3 linked regions of the Tribolium castaneum genome follow. The protein of the gene in region 1 purifies or fractionates together with the protein of each later gene. This does not show direct contact. Links are inferred from orthologs where the notes say so. Each region holds a gene or a part of one and is shown in the gene's direction. Other genes may lie near its edges. The genes, in order: Neurl4, Ube3a and Cep97.

What was found.
Region 2: the proteins of Neurl4 (region 1) and Ube3a purify together in Homo sapiens (affinity purification with mass spectrometry; 3 studies listed by BioGRID and IntAct, with this or other methods). This does not show direct contact. The link is inferred for Tribolium castaneum from reciprocal best matches to the Homo sapiens genes NEURL4 and UBE3A.
Region 3: the proteins of Neurl4 (region 1) and Cep97 purify together in Homo sapiens (affinity purification with western blotting; 4 studies listed by BioGRID and IntAct, with this or other methods). This does not show direct contact. The link is inferred for Tribolium castaneum from reciprocal best matches to the Homo sapiens genes NEURL4 and CEP97.

What each region holds. Positions count from the first base shown.
Region 1 is NC_087398.1:5,348,938-5,352,058, reverse strand, and holds the end of Neurl4 (neuralized-like protein 4), read left to right. Parts: intron 1-28; coding exon 29-1,494; intron 1,495-1,538; coding exon 1,539-1,776; intron 1,777-1,825; coding exon 1,826-2,274; 3' UTR 2,275-2,528; downstream 2,529-3,121. Other genes in the region: succinate dehydrogenase [ubiquinone] iron-sulfur subunit, read left to right, coding at 2,616-2,842, 2,889-3,121. UniProt on the Homo sapiens protein: Promotes CCP110 ubiquitination and proteasome-dependent degradation. By counteracting accumulation of CP110, maintains normal centriolar homeostasis and preventing formation of ectopic microtubular organizing centers.
Region 2 is NC_087400.1:8,646,215-8,649,972, reverse strand, and holds the start of Ube3a (ubiquitin-protein ligase E3A), read left to right. Parts: upstream 1-884; 5' UTR 885-1,135; coding exon 1,136-1,179; intron 1,180-1,290; coding exon 1,291-1,465; intron 1,466-1,511; coding exon 1,512-1,626; intron 1,627-3,758. UniProt on the Homo sapiens protein: E3 ubiquitin-protein ligase which accepts ubiquitin from an E2 ubiquitin-conjugating enzyme in the form of a thioester and transfers it to its substrates.
Region 3 is NC_087402.1:12,400,017-12,403,774, reverse strand, and holds the start of Cep97 (centrosomal protein of 97 kDa), read left to right. Parts: upstream 1-1,516; 5' UTR 1,517-1,615; exon of another isoform or gene 1,616-1,681; 5' UTR 1,682-1,706; coding exon 1,707-1,710; intron 1,711-1,759; coding exon 1,760-1,905; intron 1,906-1,953; coding exon 1,954-2,214; intron 2,215-3,552; coding exon 3,553-3,749; intron 3,750-3,758. UniProt on the Homo sapiens protein: Acts as a key negative regulator of ciliogenesis in collaboration with CCP110 by capping the mother centriole thereby preventing cilia formation. Required for recruitment of CCP110 to the centrosome.

The sequences.
Region 1 (3,121 bases):
ACCCAGTAAGTAATAAATCGTCCTAAAGGTGTGACCGCCGTTCGCCCCGACGATATCGAGCTTCCGGGCACCGCCACCGACCTCTGTCGCGACACCTGGATGCTCAGCGGATCCTCCATTATGGAAAATGGCACCACGGTCAAAAACAACTACCCCTGCGACTTGGACACTCTCGACGCTGGCGTTCGAATTGGAGTCGTGCGTTCAAGCGACAAAACTTTGGAGTTTTACAGAGACGGTGTCCCCCAAGGACCCGCCTGTATTGTCCCCCACAGTACGGTATATGCCGTTGTCGATCTCTACGGGCAATGTGCCCAAGTTAGCATTCCTTGTGTCTCCCCACTTGTTCCTATTCCCACAAATTTAGATAACTGTCCCCGGTCGGACACTTCCATTAGTTTGCAAGCGGTTAGTGTAGTCCAACCGGCGGTTCAAACCGATCTACATATCTTCTCTGATTGTCACGGCAAAGGCGTGTGTTTGAGTGACGGTGGCCGATTGGCCAAACGCACGAAAGATTTAACCGGGGCGGTGGTATGTAGCGCCACAACGCTCGAAAGGGAGGAGCTATTCGAGGTCACTATAGTTTCATTGGTCGAGCATTTGGCCGGAAGTATAGTCATAGGCGTGTCGGAAACACCTCCCGGGAAATCCAACATTAATATCTTCGAACAATGTTGTTACATCACCGGGAACGAACTCAGATTTAGAAACAAAACAATTCAGTTATTTACTCCGAGCTTGCATTGGCTGAACGTCGGGGACCGAATCGGGTTACTCCGAACGCTCGATGGCGCTTTAAAAATTTTCATAAACAGTGAAGAATTAAACTTGTGTTTGCCCCCTCTCCCTGAGACTTTATACGTGGTTGTAGACCTGAAAGGGTCGTGTAATGCCGTCGCCGTGACCAGTCACAAGTCACCCTTGTGGTCCCTAAACAGCGCACGGTTGCAAGACAGTCTCGAACTTTGCAACCAAGAACAAATCGAACTGGTCAGAGATCCGGACGTGTCAACAATTTACGAATTTCACGACAACCACGGACGAAATATCGAGATTGTTGAGGGTCGTACGACTGCGAGACGTGTCGCTTCATATAATCAGGGCGTGGTGATCGCTCAGCCCGCCCTCGAGATCAGCTCAAAGGTCCAGATCATAATCGACCAACTGGAGACGCGATGGCAATCGTCGATTATCGTGGGCGTGGTTTCGGGACCACCTGAACGTTTGAATCTACCTGTCAATGCACTGGCGTTCAAAGCACCGTGTTGCATTGTCGCAAACGATTGGATTTCGGTGAACGGGGTCAAGTCACGTTCGAACTTCGGCCAACGTTTGAGTAATTTACAAGTTGGCGATACTGTGGGTGTTATGTTGACCCTTTCCGGGTTGAAGTTGTTAGTGAATGGGATTGAGGAGGAAGCTTTGTCTTTTGTTTTTCAAACGGGGCAAGCCATTTACGCTGTTTTTGATCTCTACGGGCAGTGCCAACAGGTAAAGGTGCGTTTGTTGATTCGTGGTGAAGCAATTGATTGCAGATTAAAATCTTGAATGATGTTGCGCAAGAGGTGGCCGAAAATTCGGTCACTGATTACGAAAAGGCGGACCTTGAAAGTTGCGAAAAGGAGCGACTGACTTTACCCATACCCTCAGCAAGTACTAGTCTAACATCGTCAGGGGGCGTGTCGCGTCCCTCACCGCCTAGTCCAATCAAATCGCTGATTTGTTCCTACAGGGACGAGTGTCTCACGTTTAAGAAACGCCTCCTTTTGCCAGGTTCGCCCACTTACGTAATTTAATCCCATACGATTTTTTTTTCTCATAGATAATTATTTTACGTCAGACGACCCGATCTGCCACTGCTCGACTTGCATAAAAGGCGAGAAAGATAACTCTCTCCTGGGTTGGGTGAAATTTCCTCTGAAAAATTCAGCCAATACAGCGACCGATAAGTGGCACACGGCCTTCTACGTGTGTAAGGTGGGGGCGGTGCGTTGTATACTCGACAAAGGGCAGCCGCTGACCAAAGGCCAGGCCCAGTGGTGTAATCTAGTGGCACAGAAAGAAGACGATGTCCAAGTCGTTTTTTACCCAACCTTACAAAACTGCAAGACTTCAGGGTACAAGACAAACAATCGAGTGGTCCATGCCGCTTTTCAATTGTTAGTCAAACCGAGCGCCTACTCCGTATCGAGGGATCCACCCGAATGGAGCACCAAAGAAACCGGAGCAATTGTTCTACATTCGCTTTTGATTCAAATTGAATGTAATTAAATGTGTAGCGATTGGTGTGTGCAATTAAACATTCGGAATTTTTTTTGTCGAGCTGTGATTATGTTAACGAATTTAGTCTGATGATTGGAACAAGTCGAAGATGTGATATTATTTTTCCCAAATTCGTCATCAAACTAATTTTAGAATAGGTTACCGATGTATTTATTTACAACAAGCAGATTTTATCCAAGACACACGGCACTGTAGTATACGTTAAGTTTGTTTACGGACCGAATAAAACATGTTGACCACAATGATTGGCTTTTTTTCAATCCTTGATAAAAAACTAGAAGTCTAAAAAATACAATGGCAATATTTTGACGTCTCTAAACGAACTCCAAATGTCAAAAATCGGCAAAGTAATTTTGAAAAATTATGGGGGGCATTTTGGCGCCCGATTTGTTACAACTTCCGCACATAACTTCAAACAAGCTCAAAAAAAGCCGGCAGAAAAGAGTGCTCCCCCTGCCCCCAAAAGTCCTCGCTTGAAGGATTTCTCAATTTATCGCTTCACGAAAGAAAGTAAGAAGAAGCCGCACATGCAGAAATACACGATTGATCTTAACGAGTACTTGGCAGTTTGCAAAAACAATTTCATTAATTTGTGGTTCCAGTTGTGGCCCAATGATCCTTGACGCCTTGCTGAAAATAAAACGAGAGCAAGACTCGACTATAACTTTCCGCCGATCCTGTCGTGAGGGTGTGTGCGGCTCGTGTGCCATGAACATCAACGGCAGGAATGCTCTTGCCTGCACTAAACGAATCGAACCGAAAGGTGACTGCAAAATCTACCCCCTGCCCCACATGTACGTCGTCAAAGACCTAGTTGTGGACATGACGCGCTTTC
Region 2 (3,758 bases), on another chromosome or scaffold:
TCCATATTTCTCACAGAAATTTATCATTATTTTGTCGATAATACTTTTCGGTGAAACCTGCAAGCAAATAATTATTTTAACTAGTAGCCACACATACTTTGCTCGGTAAAATTTATATTTTCGAAACTAATAACTAACTTTGCTACCAACTAACTTTTATCACTCACTTGTTGGAAACTGAAAATAAAAATACAAAGCAATGCCAGGACAAGTTTCTGCCTTGAAAACATTTTAGAGCTTGTTACTGATCAGGTAGCCAACAATCGACTGATACGTACGTAAACAAATTCGAAAAGATCAAAGCTGCATCAGATAAATCGATTTTGTATAAATTTGTTAGTGTTGGTAATTTTGTTAGAGGTAACAAGACAAGAGGTAAAGTTGAAAGCTTATTATAGTGGCGTATGAAGCCTCCAATGTTCATTTGTCGGCACTCAGAAATGAAAATTGATCATTATTATTTATTTAATTCTAGCATTATTTTTATTAATCTTAATTATGATAAACTAATTTGCTGTTTAGTGGTATTTGACAATTATTCTATTTTTGTACAATTCATTTTCAGGTTTGTTCTAAAATACTATAAATATTTTTTCTACCCTATATGATAAAATTGCATTTTTTTCACTGCGACTTCATGGTAAAACGAAATCTTATCGTCTATGGAAATATTGTTCCCAACATTTGTTTTTGTGTTTTCTACGTTTTTTTGAATTTTTTGATGTTTAAAATTGTTAATCAAAATAACTGAGTAATTCAATCGAAATACTGGAGGATGGAATAAAATTTTATCGTGTTGTACAATAAATAACCGAGTAAATAACAATTATTTTTCGTGGCAGGAAGATTTGAAATTTGTAAACAATCAGTGTGACCACACTTCCAGTCTCGACACCAGGTGCGCTCGAAAGTCCCCAACTCGAAATGACAGAGCAATCATTAGCAATGTCGTAAAATCTTCGAGCCTCAAGTAAAAACAAACAAAATATCCGTTTTAAATTTTACGACAAAGTATTTCAAAGTTCTCTCGCCGTTCCTCAATGTGGGACCCCATGTGCTAAAGTCCTTGCGCCACCTTTTGTATCTTTTATTTTTCTAGTGTTTTAGCGTTTATTTATTTACACAAGAAAATTCTATGAGCTCTTCAGACCCACCAACTGACCAAGACGACGCTTCAAGGTACCCCCTTAATCCTAGCTCTTTCCCGATCTGTTTTGAGGTTATGTTCCTAATGTCAAATTTGAATGTCATCCAAATCGTGCCCCCTTATAGCTGAAAAACTGCTTGCAGGATAAACCAAGAGGCTTCGTCTAGCACCAACAACGAAACCTCTACCCCTGACAATAAGGAGGACGAGATGAAACGTGCTGCTGCCCGCAAGCTGATTGAACGATATTTCTACCAATTGACCGACGGTTGTGGGAACCCCGCCTGCAAGAACAAGTACTGCGCCTCCAGCGGACAGGTAGCCCCCTTATATTTTAAAAGTAGAAGCTACAAGCCAGTTTCAGCTCAAGCCACTCACGCCAGACGAGGCGGCTGCGCAAGCCATTCAGCTCTTCTCTCAAGAAGCGATTTTGTGCGAGAGACACCCTAACAAAATACAGAGGACTAACAATAAAATGGGTAAGTATCCACAACACGGTCGTATTTTTGTCCAACGTCTTCTTAAACCTCTCTGAATTCCGATGGTGTCTTTGAAAGTTGAGCTTAATTCTTTATTTTTTTCTGTTCTAAGAACTTTATGCGTTTCAAAATGACGCTTATTAAGGGTTGGTAACGCAGCTGTACTGGTATAACAAGTAAATTTTATCTCAAAAATGTTATTAATATTTGCCAAAAAATGTGTTGAGAATTTTTTGTTTCAAGCACTTAAACTTGTAAACACTCAAAACTTTGTTGGAACGGAATGAAAAGTCGAAAAATTATTTACTTTTATATATTTAGTTATTTCGCCAAATTTAATAAAAACATACGCCGACCCTAAGCTAAAAAAAATATTTTTTTTTCCGATCATTTTAGGAGGGATTTTGCCTTTTTCAAGGCGTTTTACCCTGTATTTCAGAAACGCAGTTATTTCCAAATTATCTCAAAATCACTGTTTTGCTGTAAATTAATCGAAAAATCTCAAAATTTGTAAAGAAATGGAGGAATTTTTGATTTTTTAAGTTTAAATAAGTACATGATTGAGTTAAAACGCAGTTTGTGCGAATTTTTTCTATACCGTTTTGAAAAAAAAAAGTTAATAAATTGGATCAAAAATGGTGTCATTTTTGTCTTTTTAAATCATTAATGTTGGGCGATTGTCTCAAGTCTTTAAAATAATTAAAAATAAATTTTTTACTTACATTTCCTTTTGATGTTGATCTACAAATCGATTTTAAAGTAGACTACTTTTAATTTTCACTTGGAAAATGTATTAGATTTAAAATTTAGAAAAACAGTTACAAGAGGCAAATAGAAATGTGCGACAAAGACAAGTAGTAATGAAATTTATTTGAATTGAGTCTTTTAAATAATTGGAATTTGAGACAATATAACACTTTTTTGAAAAAAAATTGATATTTTTTTTTATTAAAATTTTAAACAAATATTCATAATATTTTAAAAAACGTGTACGGGAAAAATGCACGGTGGTGGTACGAACAGAATGCGTTCAAAAAACAAATAAATTTTTTAATAGTTTTTAACGAATTCGAATATTGATTTTACTTTGACAAATTTTGCCGCCGAGAATCTTCAACAGTCAACTACGGGGTAAGCGGAAAAGAGGGCAAAATAAACCTCGATCAACTGAAGACAGGAAGATGTGAAACACGATGTTTCTGTATCCTTGTACTATTCATACACAGAATTATCCTATTATTTTTTTGAACTGAATTTAGTAATGCATTAAACATCAGTGTTTTTTTTTCTTTTTGAAGTAGTGTTTATTTGTTAGTAATTTTTATATGTTCCTTGCTCAAAAACGGATAAATGATCAAAAGTTTGGAACACCACAAAATCTGTTATTCTCTTTGGAAAACAATAGGTTAAATTTTAATTTAGTTTCGGTAAAAAAATTATTTTGTTATGATGTCATGAAGATTTCTGATGATAGAGATTGAGAAAGCCCAGCAAGAAGCAAATAATGTCAAATAACCTTGAATTCCAATTTTTCTGGAATTACATTGTTTGAAATACCTAAGATTTTCTCGGAATATGTTGAAAAGGATCGAACAAGTCGGCAAAACAAATAAAAATTACTCGTAGTAATCACCAGAGTTTAGCAATTTTCTTCTTAATGTAGGTATGTAGATTTTTTTCAAAATTTTTTGTGCAAAATATTTAAGCAAGGTTTGTTTTAGAATAACATTTTGGTTAATTAATGTTTTCATATTTTTAGTTTTATTAATACTAGTATTAATATGTACCTATTTTTAGTTCAATGATAATAATTTTATTGTATGGAATTGTAAAAAAATTCCGAAATAATTCACATGCACAGAAAAATTAATAAAGCATTTTTGCAAACGCAGATTTCTACGTGAGGTTATTAGTTTTTGAGATCAGAAAAAAACTGCTTTTTAATGATAGTTCTAGTTATGTAAAAAAATGTATAAAAAAGAGATAAAACCAATCATTACTATATGACTTCTAGATATCGGGGTTAAATCAGCCTTTTGAATTCCTGATTTTCATCAAATATACAAAATTTTATGTAGGACTTTTTTGTAAAGCTTGTTAATATGAGTGGAGCGCTTTTCCCAAAACGTAAA
Region 3 (3,758 bases), on another chromosome or scaffold:
AAAACATGAAACCAAATAAACGCTGAGTTTTTTAATTAAAACTCTGACCGTAAAAACATTGCACCCCGATTGAAACAAGCAATTTCCAGATTTAGCTAGTTAATAGTGGTATTACTCACCCCATGAACCAATCCACGGTATCGCGGAGATATTCCGGTAAACGCTCCAGTTTGACCAATTCAAGCCACTTTTTCAAGACCAAGAGATTTTTCTTCCACCTTCTCCAACCAAATTACAAATGTCAACAATTGTACACTTTACGTTTCGAATGTTATTGCACTGAAACGAAACATGCGTTGCACTATTCGTACTTTACACCGTTTTTCTATCAATAAACTTTAATCATTTGAGAAAACCAAGTCATTTTCTTCGTTTGCAAATAACTCCATATTCATTAGGTGTCACTACTGCCAACTTACCCCAAATCATTAACATTTACTTAAGCACGGTGCAAGACACAACACGTACACAGTTTAAACGACGGTATAATAATGCATAAAAAGCCCCAATATGGGGGCACGTGTTGTATTGATTTCGGAGATAAATTAACAGCAAAATTGATTTTTACCAGCGCAAGGTTGGCAACTATTATGCGTCATGTCAGCTGTCAATTGATAAGGGAGCTCGTAAAACTGAAAAACAGATGCGTTCATTATCAGAACAGTACAACTGAACAACAAACCAAAATAAATCAATCATTCATTTTATTCGGTAATTTTTAGTCAATAAAAACTGAGAATTTAATTTAAACGGCACCATCTCTGACGAATTATTTTTAAAAATTTTGAACAAGTAAACCAAAAATAAATAAAATAGTCTTTTCTTCACAAAACGAATGAACCAGCTTGAAATTGTTTAGATCCAATTTTATAATCCTTTTGTGAATTCTAACAAATTCTGTCCAAAATAATGTATTATACGGACTGTATATAAAAGAGTGCAGGATCTCATGTGGTTTTGGAATTTAAATTTTCTGCATTTAATTATTTTATTTTTAAGAAATTTCTGAAAAGTACAAATTTTTATCTACTCAGGCAATCAGTAAAACCAATTTGACCAATGTTATCATATACGAGCATTGTTCGTTTTTTCTGGAAAGAAGCGGCAATCTTTTAATACCTACTACGATACCGCATTCATATAAAAACAGATGTAGCTATAACTTCAAAAACGTGCTTTAACATTAAAAAACACAATCTTTGCAAAACTAAAAGTAAAGTAATATTCAACTAATCTGAAATTTTTTTGAATGTCTGTCTATTCCAGCAGTGTCCTAAAAGAAACTTGAAATCCTAGTTCACAAACGGGCTTAAAAAGGTAACAGAGCATCATCTTAGCAAACATATAATTTTTGACTTATTTTTGACGGAATGTTTCTCAAATCGAGCGAAATCAACCAAAGCAGGCTGAACTGTTATTGATTTTTCTGACGATGACAGGCTTTAGACTTGAACGTTTTTAATTAAGTTAACCATAGGACGTGATCGTTATTGTTTATATGGAATATAATCCAACACATGCACTTACATTTTCTAACCAATAAGTTAAACTTCTATAAGTGAAAGGAACACAACGATTCCTGCTCACAATTTTAAAATGTGGAACAATTTAATAATCAGCTGATCATCGCCGTCCTTCTATTAGCGCCATCACCTACCTGTCAATAATATTTAGCAAATAAAAAAATGCGTATAAGTTAAATATAAATGGGTAAGTAAATGGATTTGTAGTGAATTTTCAATGTGATTTGCCGTTTCAGAGGAAATATCAGATTTGTCGAACAAGAAGCTCAAAAAACTCGCCAAATTCTCGCCTCAGGAATCGCAAGTGATAACAACATTGATACTCGACGATAACGAACTGCAACGTTTGGATAACATCGACTCGTTGTTTCGGCTACAGAAGGTAAAATTGTAGCTTTAAGTGCGCGACGTTTTAAGGGCCCCCTTGTAGCTGTCAGCAGTGCGCAATCAATTGTTGCGCATGTATGGCGTATGTCGCCTCCATTCTCTGCACACTTTGAATCTCGCTCATAACGGAATACTCACAATCGAGGGGCTCAAGGATCTGGTTAATTTAAAGTGGCTTTGCTTGGCTGGGAATAGTATAAAAACTATTGAACATCTCAATACTAACACGAATTTAGAGCATTTAGATTTGTCGGAGAATAACATTACGCACATCAATGATTTAGCATTCTTGAAAGATTTAAAGGTTAGTTCATAGCTTGCTTGATAATTGAGTTTCTCTTAAATGTGGCGCCATATTGTGTTGTTACCATGGTTACCGTATCGTAACCATGATAATTGTAGAACGTGGCACCCTCTTTCGGGAAATTTCGTGCGGTGCAGAGATAAGGTAAGATAGACTGGCAGCTTTCTCACTCTAGATAAGCAACAAGAGGTACATACTGCCCTTCTTATCAACTGGTGTGTACTTATTTTTCAGTGGCCTTATGTTCAAATTTAAAAAATACGAACAGTTAAAATTAACAGGAGGAAAGAAAGGTTAAAAAAAACATTCAGCGTTGAATGTTAAACTCATCGTACTTCTAAATCATCTAACTGAAGAATTTCATAAATGGGAAGACAATACAATAATGAAATTATTTTTGCTATACTTACAGCGTGATTCAAACGTATCCAACCAACTCTCGTATGGTGATATGCGTCGTTCAGTAAAGAAAGTCCATTTTTTCCAAGCAACTTGCCATTTAATTTTTAATATATTTTTGTATTTGTTTTCCTTAGCAGCTATTTTAATTGTTGTTCTTTTGTTTTTAGTCATGTCAGATTTAAATTATTATATAATTTGCCAAATTTACGTGTATTAAATGATTGGAATATCGCTGATTGGTGATTTTTTAACAGATGTCCGTTTAATGATTGCATGATTTGTCGTTTTCGCTAAATAAATTAAAAACAATTTGACCTGAAAACCTCAAATCTAAAAACCTAACTTTGGAAAGCTACGATATATAGCGTGAAAAAAGGTTCACACAATTTTTTGCCATAGGAACTTTGACTCTGATGTTTTTTATAGCTGCCCAAGAGACGATTCGAGACTTTTGAATCACCGTGTGTATTCCATTTCGGCTCATAGTAAAATTGCAACCGCGCATTTGTATTTTTTGGAGAGAAAAATGAAGTACAAATTGAAAGTTTCTGTATAAGAAAAAGAATTCTGTGTTAAACTAAATCCCAACGACACACTTTGAGAAACTCTCAATTTGTGCTCCATTTCATTCAAAAAATGCAAATGCGCTGTTGCAAAATTCTACTATAAATAATCTATAATAACTAATTTTGAGAGAAAATGCGACGTTGGCGTTTTTATAGTTTTGAGAAAGCGTATAAAATGTATTTAAAAAATCTATTCGATTTGCTGTTGTTTCAGAAAGTATTGTAAATTTATATTACCTTGTCTCTGTGTGAAATTTTCTTTTGGCGCCATCTTCTCTCGTTAGCATGGTGATCAGATACATGTAACCATGCTAATTGTTGAACCTAGCGCCCTCTTTCGGGAAATTTTGTTGTGATTGTTTGATTTTAGGAGCTTTTTCTACACAATAACAAAATTAATCATCTTAGACAGAGTGATCGTTTCCTGCCTACTAGTTTAATAACCCTGACTTTGGCTAATAATAACATTGAGGATTTGAATGAAATTTCTCAGCTTGTTCATCTTGTTAATCTACAAAATATTTCCATCGCTAATAACCCTTGTGTTAACTTTGGCAACACTAACATGTATCCTTT